2 linked regions of the Drosophila melanogaster genome follow. The protein of the gene in region 2 purifies or fractionates together with the protein of the main gene of each other region. This does not show direct contact. Each region holds a gene or a part of one and is shown on either strand. Other genes may lie near its edges.

Evidence for each region.
Region 1: the proteins of ntc (region 2) and Prosalpha7 purify together in Drosophila melanogaster (affinity purification with western blotting, with the first as the bait; one study listed by BioGRID). This does not show direct contact.

What each region holds. Positions count from the first base shown.
Region 1 is NT_033778.4:9,846,136-9,852,056, forward strand, and holds Prosalpha7 (proteasome alpha7 subunit), read right to left. Parts: upstream 1,702-5,921; 5' UTR 1,583-1,701; coding exon 1,562-1,582; intron 1,504-1,561; coding exon 938-1,503; intron 771-937; coding exon 596-770; 3' UTR 501-595; downstream 1-500. Other genes in the region: Orc6 (origin recognition complex subunit 6), read right to left, coding at 1-138, 195-259; CG1671 (uncharacterized protein), read left to right, coding at 1,990-2,015, 2,075-4,412; PCB (pyruvate carboxylase), read right to left, coding at 5,002-5,250, 5,319-5,921. UniProt on the Drosophila melanogaster protein: The proteasome is a multicatalytic proteinase complex which is characterized by its ability to cleave peptides with Arg, Phe, Tyr, Leu, and Glu adjacent to the leaving group at neutral or slightly basic pH.
Region 2 is NT_037436.4:3,801,873-3,808,999, forward strand, and holds ntc (nutcracker), read right to left. Parts: upstream 4,588-7,127; 5' UTR 4,088-4,587; coding exon 3,949-4,087; intron 2,893-3,948; coding exon 2,087-2,892; 3' UTR 1,960-2,086; downstream 1-1,959. Other genes in the region: IntS10 (integrator 10), read left to right, coding at 4,940-5,139, 5,193-6,237, 6,294-6,944. UniProt on the Drosophila melanogaster protein: Functions together with PI31 to control non-apoptotic caspase activation during sperm individualization. Positively regulates PI31 stability.

The sequences.
Region 1 (5,921 bases), on a different chromosome or scaffold from region 2:
GCCTGCTCCTTGTCGAAAGCGATCCCAATCATGCAGGAAGCGAGATCCGCACACAGCACTATCTTTCCGTACTCGTTGATCTGCAGAGGGACATTCGTGGAGCGCAGTTCCAGGAGGCGTACTAGTTCGGTGGTTTTCCTGAAAGGATTCGATCTTACTGGGTAAACCTTTAAAACTATTTATTTATCGCTTACTCTAGCACGTTTGGCTCCTCCCTTAGGCCCATTTTCGTAATTAACTGTTCTATTAAGGTAGTCATTGTAGTTATTAACAATAGACTGAAATTCCAGTCGTGCGTCGTTAAAACCAAAATAAAGTACAACAAATGGCGCGAAATGCATCAGCTGTGAGCGATAAGGTTTTTCTTTGTAGCAATCGAGGTTTAATAGCTGCAGGCACATTCAAAAGGAACCAGATCCGATAACCAGCGAGCCAATATATTTATATCGAACGATAACTATTAAAGAATGAGAGTATAAAAATATAAAAACCTTAAATTTCACCCGATTTTGTTTATTCATTTTGCGCTTTAGGGAAATATAAAATTAACATTATGTATGAGGCCCAGAATTAGATTCACTGGCACACAAACGAACTAGTGCGTCTCATTGTCGCTGTCTTCGTCCTTGTTGGCCGCATCGCCGGCTTTCCTCGCCTTCTCCGTCAGTTCTGAGGGATTTATGAGATGTAGGCCACCGGTTACCCTGCCCACCAAACCCATTTCGAAGCGGAAGTCCTTGTCCTTCAACTCGTCATGGACTTTGTAGATGCTAAGACATAGGATAGATATGTTAATTATGAATAAAAACCTAGATTCTAAGTGCAATAGATGTCCCAAAAATGCTTCCTATTGTCAGAGCAAGTAAGTTTCCACTCGGAACTAGGATAAAGCCCGCCCGATTTTTGAAACAGTCCCTTTTTTTTGCTGTAAACGTACATTTCACCAGCGCTCTCCACCAATTCGTCGGTCCTCATATCCATCTTGAGCTTCTCCATCTCAGTCTTGGCCAGCTGCTTGGCCTTGCCGCTGGCGCAGGCGAAGTAACCGAAGGAGGAGCCGGACGGCTCGATCTTGTAGAGCTGTGGCCCCTCTACTTCGTCCCAGGAGGCGAGAATGATGGAAAGTCCGAAGGGGCGGACGGCACTGTACAGAGTGTAGGCGTGAACGTAGCCGGCGACTCGGTGGCACAGGTGTTTAAGCGGGATAGCCTGCTCAAATTGCTGTCTGTAGTTGGCTGCCTCCTGACGCGCAATGTCAGCCACAAAGTTTCCATCGGCCACCAAGCCGGCCACCGCCATTCCGATGTTCTTTTCGATGGTGAAGATGCGTCCGCCGGCGTCTGGTTCGTACAGTTTACTGGTGATGATCTTCTCCACGGCCAGCACCACGGCGTCCTTGCCCCGAATCCCGATTACGGTGCCGCTCTTCTCCACCGCCTTTGAGGCGTAGTCGATCTGGAAAACGCGGCCATCAGGCGAAAACTGCGAGGCCGACAAGTCGTACTGGAAGCGAGAGGGTGACGTTAGGGATCTGCAGATATGTAGTTCGCTGACCACTTACTCCAGTGCCAATAGTACTCATAGCGAAGACTTTGTGAAAATTTAAACAATTCAAACGCAAAAATTAGTTTAATTCCTTGGGTCGAATGCGACGATGATTTGACGGCTTTTACTTGGCTAGTGGTGGACAAAACAAAGGGGCCTATCGGTCAAGGAGGTTCGATAGTTTCGGAACGACTATCGTCAATAAAAACCAATCGTATACCAATCGCGATTTTTTCAGATAAAATTCGAATGATTAAAAATAAATCACCAATTCATGGTACTTTATTTATTTAGCACAGTTGAAGTTAATATCATTCTTTTCTTTTCTACTTATACATTTCGAATATCCCCTTACATGCTCTGTAAAGTAACATTTCGAACTAGTTCCGTTCATGTTCTGATCCGCGGCGCACGCGGTTTTTGTATTTATAAACAACGAAAATCATGCTGGCGGGTATCAGCGAGAAAAGGTAACATAAACTTAATAATTACCTGATGATTGCAAGACTACAACAATTTTAAAATCCAGCTATGCGGCGGAGGCCCGCTACACGAACTTCTACGCCGGCGGCGACATCGCCTGGAGCCCGAATGGCCATCATCTTTACTGCCTCAATGGCTCAGCTGTAAACCAGGTGGATGTGCAGACCTCCCAAATCCTAAATAGCTACGGCTTGTCTTCCCCGTCGGCGGATAACAAGAGGCCGGCGGAGCTGGACAATATCGATGTGGAGGAGGATACGATTACTTGCTTCGGGCTGTCACAGGAGCATCTGGTTACTGCCCATCGAAGTGGCCTGCTTAGGCTGTGGCAGCTGGACACTGGGAAGCTGGTGAAGCTGTGGAAGGCGCAGCACAAGGGACCAGTCATCCGAGTTGAGTTTAGTCCCTGCGGCAGGCTTATCTGCACCAGCGGCGGTGCAGATGCCACACTGAGGCTGTGGGACTACTCGAACAACAGCTGTCTGGGTGCCCTCAAGGATTTCCCTGGTCCCGCTTGGCTCCTCGTCTTTCATCCCAATGTGCTGCGCAAAGAGATCTACGCCGGAGGTTCGGATAACACTGTCTATGCCTGGAACTACGAGACGAAGACACTTGTGCACAAGATGCGAGGTCACCTGTCGCAAGTCACCGGCTTGAGCTTTAAGAGCAACGCGTCCGACTGCAATGAAATCGTGACTGTAAGCCGGGACAAGGTTATGATCGTGTGGCAATTGCAGGAGCAGTTGGAAAGCAAGCAGTTGAAGGTTCTTCCCTTGTACGATGAGCTTGAGGGAGTCGTGTACGCAGACGAGGGACAACTGATAATCGTGGCGAGCGGATCGGGCAAGCTGCAACAGGTCGACCCTAAATCTTGGAAGATCAGGGATATTCTTTCTCAATCTGATTTCCAAATTAGTAGACTGCTGCACTGCAGCGAGCTAAAACAGCTGGCCCTGGTCACTACAGAGCAGAATATTTTGGTCTACGACGTTGAAACCCTGGAACCCATTAAACACTTGGTGGGTTACAACGACGAGATCCTAGACATGTGCTTTATGGGCGAACACGATCGCTACCTGGCCGTTGCCACCAACAGCAAGCACTTCAAGCTGTACGACACGGAACACGACATGAATTGCAAGCTGATCGTGGGTCACTCGGATACGGTAATGTCCCTTGCTGCATCCCAAAATCTGCTGATTTCGGTGGGAAAGGACTGCAGCGTTCGGCTTTGGAGGCTTCAGCACGACAAAGATTGCTCGCTTGAGGCTCTGACTCAACAGGCCAACTGCCACACGTCCACTATCGGTTGCGTGGCCATGACGCACAACGGAGCTACTGGCTTTGCATCCGTGAGCCAAGATGGCAGCATGAAGGTATGGCAGCTCGTCAGAAGTAAGGAGGATCGCAACTCGTACTCTTTCAACCTGCGCTACGCAGCGCTTTCCCACGACAAGGAGGTGAACTGCGTTGCATATGCTCCGAATAACAAGCTTATTGCTACCGCGTCGCAAGACAAGACGGCTAAGGTGTGGCTGGCGGAGTCCAACACGCTGCAAGGAGTGTTGCGGGGACACACCCGCGGTGTGTGGAGTGTGCGCTTCTCTCCGGTGGATCAGATCGTGCTCACCTCATCGTCGGACTGTACTCTCCGCATCTGGTCCATCAGCAATTTTTCGTGCATAAAACGTTTCGATCAGGAGTGCACCATACTGAGAGCCGAGTTCCTGGATCACGGCAAGTTCATTATCTCCGCTGCTTCGGATGGCCTTCTTAAGCTGTGGAATATCAAGACCAACACATGTCTGCAGTCCCTGGACGAGCACAACGATAGGGTTTGGGCGCTGGCCGTATCCGCCAGGAGCAATCGGTTCTTTTACACCGGCGGCGCGGACTCCAAGCTGATTCGCTTCGGTGATGTCACTCAGGTGACGCGAAACGAAGCGCTGGACAAGCGGCAGGCCGCATTGGAGCAGGAGCAGACCCTACATTCCCTTCTGCACGCCCAGAAGCAGCTTCACAAGGCCTTCGTGTTGGCTCTGAACCTGGACAAGCCCAAAGCCAGTTTCGATATTATCAACCACTTTGTCCGCAAGCGAGATGAGCCCGGTCTCCGGCAATTGGTTGACCAGTTGAACGTTGACCAGCGGGTTGCGCTGCTGCAGCACGTCAAGGCATGGACCACCAACTCGCGCCATTCGCAGGCGGGCAACATGATCCTCAAGTACTTGATCGGAGATGCTCTTCTGGATCCCAAGGCGAGGTTCTACTACAATGGCAACATGGTCGAGGTACTCACTCCGTACGTCCAGAGACACTTTAAGCGGGTCACCGAGCTGAACAAGGATCTGGCTTTCCTAGAGTTCATTGTCAAGTGCATGTAGGCTTTAGCTTCGGAGCCGTTTCATTCATGATTGTTAACTTAATTCAGTTTAATTAATTTTAGGAAAAAAATAAAGTAGATAACCATACATTACATATTTGTTTCGAGATGTTTAATCACCAATTTCACACTACAAAAACCAGGGCGTTACTTTTTATTTTGTATAACGTTTATTACACAATAGTTAATATAACATTAATAACCACTTACGTATTTACTAGAGGGGGAATCTCGACACAGGTGTTTGCGAATTAAAAATTCCATAATCGTACAAATTTGATTCAAATGACTTGCGGGAAAAGCCCTACGACAAATTTACAAATATACTTGGGCACGAACTTATGCAATCCGATATATTTTGGCAGGGACAGCTAAAAAATTTGACCAGTTACTCATGGTCGATTGATCCTGGAAACACGGAAACATGAATGATTTTGATTCATATAAAAATAGACACAGGCGACTTTGGACAGTTTTATGATCAATCGAACTGACAGAGTCCCTAAGATTATCACTGTTTTCACTTAATTTTACATTGGGTGTGTGCGGTGGCAGCTTAGACAATGGACATTTTGATCCGGTGGCACTGTCTATTCGATAATCATAATGAGGTCCTCGCCCTCCAGCTTCGTTCCGTTGGCAATTTCCAGCTTCTTGACAACGCCCGCCAATGGCGACTGCACCACCATCTCCATCTTCATGGCCGAGAGCACGACCAGAGGCTGACCCTTCTCCACTTTGTCGCCAACCTTCACGCGGATATCGATGACAGTTCCGGGCATGGGGGCGCCCACCTCGCTCTTGTTCGACTTGTTCGCTTTGGGATGGACATGGATCTCCTGCGGAAGAAGAGCAAGCAAATGATTCCATTGCCTAAAGATCACCGATGACTGCTGACTGAACCTACCTTAACGGCTTCCTTGTCCAGGATGTGGACCGCGCGCAGCTGGCCATTCAACTCAAAGAATACCTCGCGGATACCGTTGGGCTTGAGATCGGCGGACACAGCCAGAGCTTTCACGCTCAGCGTCTTACCGCGCTCCAGAGGTACGTCGAACTCCTCGCCCACCTTGGGACCCGTGAGGAAGATGCGAGTGTCCAGCTTGTCGACGGGTCCGTACTTTTCGCGGAAGTTTAGGAAATCATTCGTCACCTGCGGGTAGAGGGCAGCTGACATGACATCACGGTTGGTGACGCAGGTGTGAGACTCCTGCAGTTCCTTCTTCAGCTTGTCAAAGTCCAAGTCCTTCAGTTCGGCTCCCGGACGTCCCTCGATGCGGGGCATGTCCTTGAGCACTCGCGAACGCAGCGGCTCGGGGAATCCGCCGTGCGGAATGCCAATAGAGCCCTGCAAGTACTCCACCACCGACTTGGGGAACGACAGCTCCTCGGCCCGCTCCAGCACTTGATCGGCGGTCAGGTCATTCTGCACCATGAACTGGGCAAGATCACCTACCACCTTCGACGAGGGCGTCACCTTGATAATGTCACCCAACAACAGGTTGGCCTC
Region 2 (7,127 bases):
GGCACAGTTTAGCATTGCAGATGGGGAGACAGTGTGACCAAAACCGCATGTAACTCAATTTAGCTCAATATTGAAGAAATTTAGGTTAATGTATGTCCCAACATAAACAAAATGACTCAGTGGTTAATTATTTCTGTTGTCCATGGAATTCCAATTTCCATGCTTTTATTCGTGATAAGATAGTCTTTCATTAGGCCATAAAAACATTGACAAATAATCGCAGTCAATAGAAATTTTATTGCAGAAACCCACCAGTTCAAACCGGTTTTTAATAATAATCTTATCAATGCAAAATGAATGATTTGCAATTAGAACACTTTTTGAAATACTCCTTGACGTGGTATATAATAACTATATTTCGTTATATTTCGCCACTGTATGAAACCCACATCTGTGGGTTCATTCACCCAACCATTCGACCGAATTGTGGGCGGACAAAATGGATGACGAGGCTGGGGTTAAACAGCTGCCCCTGGGAAATGCTGAGTAACTCTTCGCTCGATGGAAAGCTTCTCTCGTTTTTCCGAAGCTTTTCAGGAGACACGACTGCCTCTAGTCCAAAAATAAATGCGAGAGCACTAGCCCAGCGGAATATGTTTTGCTTTGTTTGGCTTTGCCATAATTTATTTATGCATTTGTCACTGTTTTTCGTAAATTTTGATAAAGTTGTAGCCAGATAATTTCGACAGGACCCACGGGAAACCGAAAACATAGGGTTTCCAAGGGGAATGTCGCCAGGCTGGGCTCACTCTCACTCTCTCCCTTTTCCATTTTTGTTTTTATTTCATTTTATTTTAGTGATAAGGCTCGGCCCGAGAAAGTCGATATCGTAATATAAACACGAAATAGGAGCCCAGCACCGAGCAGCAAGCATCCCGCTGTTGAGGGAGAAAAACCAAATTGTAGATGCCATCCGCCAGGAAAACCGAAAAGGCGAAGAGGCCAAGGGGAGTACACTGAGAGAAACATTTAAAAGAAATACGAATGTGTTCGAGATACTCTCAAGAGTTCCAAATGAATTGAAAATTGTAAACTAGTGTAAACTTACAAATTTTCGTCGGCTTTTCATGGGTTTCTCTCAGTGTATAAAGCTGTAGCACACATAGGGGTTATAGGGGTGCCGTTTTGCCCGCGTGGGTTTTGTTGATTTTGCGTGCGCATAAAAAATCGAAGTGGGCTTGTGAGGTTGGAGATTCGAAGCCGACGAAGATGGAATGGCGAATGGGGGCTTGGGGTTTTTTGGGGGCACTGGGAATTGTGGATGCGACAATCTCGGCGCGTGTTTTTGGCTGCTGGAGCAGCTTGTTTCGCATTCTGCACTTCTGTGGTTGAGGGCCGACTCGTTTAGGGGCGTGTACCCCTCTTTTCGGTCATAAAGGGCGGAGGGGGGGGGGGTGAAATGCCGACGAACAGGTGGCGCGGACACGTGGACGCAACTCACCTGTAATATCACGATCGTAGAGGTAACTACTGGCACTGCTCTTGAGGCTAATGGAATCCAGGGGCGTGGCAGGTGGCTCAAAGATATCGAAGGAGTTGCAGGACTCAGCCGAGGGCGTCGGAGGATCCACAATTGTCCTTGCTGATGGAGCGGGTCGTATAAATGCATGCAATAAGGACACAATTTAAAGGATAATTTAAACACAAATATATGGTATTACTCTTACTCTTACTCTTACTAAAACATATGTAAAAAAACAAAACATAAGAAGCTTCAGTAATTTAAAACACCTTCCCCTGTTACTTAAAATCTATCTGAAAACTGAAGTGCTTAATTAATTGAATCACTTTCTCGAATTTACCTTTTCAATTGAAAAAATCCATGCCTTCCACCAAATAAAGCAAGGAATATTCCCTTTATCTTTGAGGATAGTTTATTGTAAAAATCCGTCTTAATATTTAAAACATTTCAGAGAATATAAAGAGACGTGTTGTATTTCAGCTCTTAACAAGGCATTTACTTGAATAAGCAAATATATTTATTGACATACAATGATTCCCGAGAATCTTTATGCACCACTTAATAATTTATTAATATAATAATATTTATAAAATCGCTTAAACCGGCTTCGATTAAAACAAGAGCTTAGCTTCTGCCGCCCTTTAGCCTTTTTCGCTCCACTTCCTTGCTGTAGAAATGAAGATGTCTATTGACCCTGGCCACCACATTTAGCTGGCTTTTGTCCAGATATCTGAAGATCTCGAAGTACAATTCGTCCGGGAGGCCCAATAGCGAGGGCTGTAGCTTCATCTCCATCTGCATTAGTTGCTGCGATCGCATGGGCTGGAACAAGTGCTGTTTCAGCTGATATGAGAGTTCATCCAGCTTCCGAAAGCGATGGTAGATGGGCTTGTTCTTCGCCTGAATATTCAGTACATAGCGTCCGATAGACAGGCTGACGCTGTAGCCAGGCTCCTTCGACGGAGGTGCTGGGGACAGGGTGATCATAAGCTGATCCCCCAGGCTGACGGCCATCAGCCGGCACTGAAGGGCAGCCACCAGAGAAGTCTCCTCGGGAGCATGCTTGTCCAATAGTGTTCTCAGTCGCATTATATAGACGGTGTCATTGAAGCACACTTCATATCTAGCTGGTTGTTCGCTCAGGATTCGCACATTCTGGGCGTGAAAGCTGCTAAATGATGGTACGGGTTGAATGAGGTGTCTCTTCTGGGCAAATGTCTCCTCCTCCACAAATCCGCATTCCAGGGCCACCAGGTAAGTCAACAAATGAAGCCACTCGGCAGCCGGCATTTTGCGACATTCCTGATACTGATTCAGTAGCTTATCCATATGCTGCGGCACCCATTCCAGAGTAGCATGCTCCAGGATCAACGGATTTGTCTCCTGGGTGCTCTTCTCTTGTATCAAACGTGGTCGCTGCTTTTTCCCCACTGCAACGAGTTTTATTTGTATTTATATTTAAACAGAATCTCGAGGATATGATTAGTGAAATTGTCTGTGCTGTTGGTTGGTTAGGAGAAGATTGAAAATTGCAGAAACAAACCTGCTATGTGCGGATTTCGGAAGCAACAACTCAAACCGGTAGTTATATACAATACATTTTGACACTACAAAATATAGAACACAGAAGTAAACTCAAAACTCCCGTTAAGACTTTAAGACTGATGTAGAACTTTAAATAAATTAAGTAAATTAACACTTGCATTCAAAAACAAATCACGAAAGAAATTGTAAATAAAATTATGTCTAACACGACATAAATATTTAATTCACTACTCAATTTGCTTTAAAATAAATTGTAAAATTAATCAAACTTAGAATTATTTTGTGTTTACATAATATATTTGATAAGACACTAGGTTAAACAAGTTGGAACTGAACAATTAAAACGGCTATTATTACAATAAATATAACGTCACATTTTTGAAGCAATTTACAAAATAATCAAACAGGTTTTTCGGAATTTATGTTACTTTTATTCGAAGGGGTTAACTTGATGATTCATCGAAGAGAGTCGCCGATCTTGGAATGAAAGTCTAAGGAACTTCATTCAAGTTAAGTGATTCAAGGTATGAGTAAATAGATATGCATAATTCGTGGATGAAAAACACATTGCTCTATAAACTAACAATAGAAACAGGTACAAATAAATTTGTTAAAAAAATATCTATAGAATGAGCAGATTGTTATTAGCATAATGCATGAATTAGTGTACGTTGTCTTGTTTATCATGATTTATGAGTATCTATTGTTAAGTGATATGTATTAAATAATGATTTCTATTATAGATTATGAATAACTTCTAGATATCAGTGATACTCTCAACTAAATATTAATATATACAATAATCGTATTTTTTAAGATTATTTTACGATATAGAATATGATAAGATACTAATGAACGATTGTTATTTGCAGGCCATTTATCAATTACATAGAGCGCTCTTAAGTAAGTTAGTAAGTTTCTATAAATATTACACAACTTACCCTGATCAGGAGCTTTAATGTCCTTTGTGCCGACCACTTGTTGCTCATTTTGCTGCTGTTGCGGCTGTTGTTGTTGTTGTTCGCCCGATGTCGTGGGAATGGCTATAAAGCCCTCAATTTCGGATTTAGTGTCTGACATTTCAGATATTTACGTACGAATTTTCTGGGAAACGATTTGATTTAAACTTTCAATGCGACTGTCATTGTTTGTTTTCGGAATGACAATCAGAAAATGGGGCATACTGCGATTTGTGCACTCAATTTTTATATTTAGTGCTATATAGTGGGACTGATTAACAAAAGGAGGGAATCGCAATTATATTACTTCGTTGATAAGCTGTGGCACTTAAGATTTAAACATATTTACAACAAATTGCGAATGTACAAATATCCAACGATTCTTATTCACGCAACAAAAACAAAGCGCAACGACGCATCGGCAGGTATTTTCTAGAAAACTTGGTTTGTCACAGATATTACATAAGCAGTCGCAATTGCCAGGTTCGTATGTATTTTGCTTAATATAGTTTTCGATTTTGTAGCCGCAAAAATCACAGAAAATTGAAAAATTCGCGAAAAAACAATTGGTTATTTAGCGAATAATCAGCTGGCTGGCAGCTACTATGCAACACTACTGCCGCTGCTGTTATCGATTGCAGATGAGGAGAGAGTCGCTTGTTAAGCTAGCTATATTCAAGCTGAAAATTAAATATCTTCGAATTCACCGAACATATATTGATATAAAAAGCGTTTTAGGTTGAAATGACTCAATAACGCCAGCCCTAATGTAACTAAAACAAGCGCACTATGCTAAACAAGCGTTTTGAAAATAATTGAAATCTCTAGCTAGTTTCTAGATCCAATAGTTCCCATCCCTAATAGAAAAATATGGCCAGTGCTAGTAAATAAATTCCTAATAGCCGGCTAAATGGTTTGTTTTTGTTGAAACTAGGAGAAAATTAATAAAAACAAAAGATATACCCGAAGAAACATGCCGAGCCAAGAGGAAAATGAGTTGTACATGGTCAAGGAGGCGCAAAGACTCCGGAAAAGCGATCCTTGCGCGGCCATGGCCTGGATTATCACAGCTAAAACTTTATATCCCAATGCATTCAACCTGCAATACGAGGCTTATCTACTGGAACGCGATGCTCAGAATTATGAGGAGGCAGCAAAGTGTTTCAGTGCTATGTGAGTATACAATAGCACATCTATTCCAGTTACTTTATCTTTTACTGTTCCAGAGCCACCAATTTCCAGAATCAACATACGGAGCTGTGGCAGGAGATCAACTCCCTAACAAATGCCCTCAGAAATGAGAATGAAACTACGCCGGAACACGAGTTCTATGTAAAAATGTACAAGCACCTAACTCCGGAAGTACAGCACAACATATTCATGCACACCATCAACCACAGTGCCGATAATCTGGAGCGCATCTATATCTACATACTGATGTTCAACAAGTTTCCCAAATCAGCCATAACTCAGGCTCCCAGGCTACTGGAAATGCTGGCGGAGGGCATGAAAACCGAACCGGATCTCTATCAGCGGATTCTGGTGGAGGAGGTATTGCCCATGATCCAGAATAAGCCCCCGGAACTTTCGCCAAATCTGGCCTGCAGACTTTATACCAGTTCCTTGGAGTTTTATTTGCGGCAAATAATGGATGAATCGGATACAGCAGATGCCTGGAAGAACATCTTTAAAGTGCTGATGATCTGCGGTCAGATGATGGGCTGGGAGCCCTTCCTGCCCTTCAGCAAGCATGTCAACCAGAACGTCTACTGGGAAAAGCTGGTGGACATACTTTCCGGCAGTCCTGCGGGCAGCTCCCAGGTTTTGTTCTACGCCACCACCTTGTTCATTTACTCCCTTCATGGTTATATACGAAATTGTAAGCTGAGGATCGAGGATGCCGATGTAACTCATGTTTTGGTAGAAGGATTCATGGAATGGTCGCCGGAAGGTGATGGCTCCGAAGTGCCCAGCATGGAGCCACCGAAATTCTCCCTGACCACGGCCATAAGTCCAGAGTTATCCAAGGCCTTCCTACACGCCGCCCAGTGCTGGCAGCTGCTCAATACGGATCAGTTCCAAAGGGATTTCAGTCAACTTATGCTGGCTCTTCCCTTGGCGCCTTGGATCTCAAGATTCCTCTTCGACTTGGCCATATATTTCGGACACCGGGATGAGGCCAACAAGCTTATGGCGGACATGACCACCCAGAGCAGTCTGGTGCAAAGCCTGCAGATCTTGAGCCTTAATCTAATGCAAGGCAGCATGACGGTAAGTAGAGAGCCAGTTTTTTCACATGGGTAAACCTTAATGAATTTCTCACACAGCTCCAGGGCTTCCAGTGCATTTTAAAGATCCTGTCAGAACTCCCCACCACCCAGGGTCAACTTTTGGAGAATATGTCGCTGAAGGGCCACAGGCACATGGTTTTTCTGCCCCTCACTCGATCAGCGTTGGTTCAGTACTGCGTGGGAGCCATCATCAGCAGACTGAGTCGCAAGGTCTTCGAACCGAACGTTCCAGATCGATTGCTAGGGGATATCCTAGTGCTGCAGCAACTTAATCTACTCAACGATGTTCTGCTCACTCAACAGATATTTAACCTGATCAAGCAACGGAAATCGTTCAATCTGCGCACCCTATCCACCTACATTATTAATATCGATTTGCTCGAGGAACTCTCGCACATTTGGAACTCCCAGCAGGAGGATAACTTTGAGTTGACCAGCTCGCCAAATTCGAGTGGCACACCTACTGCGACCACTGTAGCTGGTGGTTCCCAAAGCCGAAGAATTGGCACCCGTGGAGCGGACAAAGGAGCCCGAGATGAATTCAGGGCGATAACACGCCAGCAGATTGCCCGCTGCAATGAGAACGTGATCACTTTGCTTGCGAATTTCATTAACCAAGAACACTTGATGCTGGCGCAGCACATCTTTGGAATCAGTCAGCCCGTGGAGACGATTGTGATTAAGTGAAATAACTAGGAGGTAACATTTATAAAATATCTATTTTCCAGCTATCTTACACATTGTGTGTTTGGTTAATACATACGACTATTATATTTAAGTTCACCAGTCTAGACTGGTGTATTTCGCTTATCGAATAAACAAATATTTATTTTATCAGCTGATAACATAGTTAGAGGTTGCATTTGATAT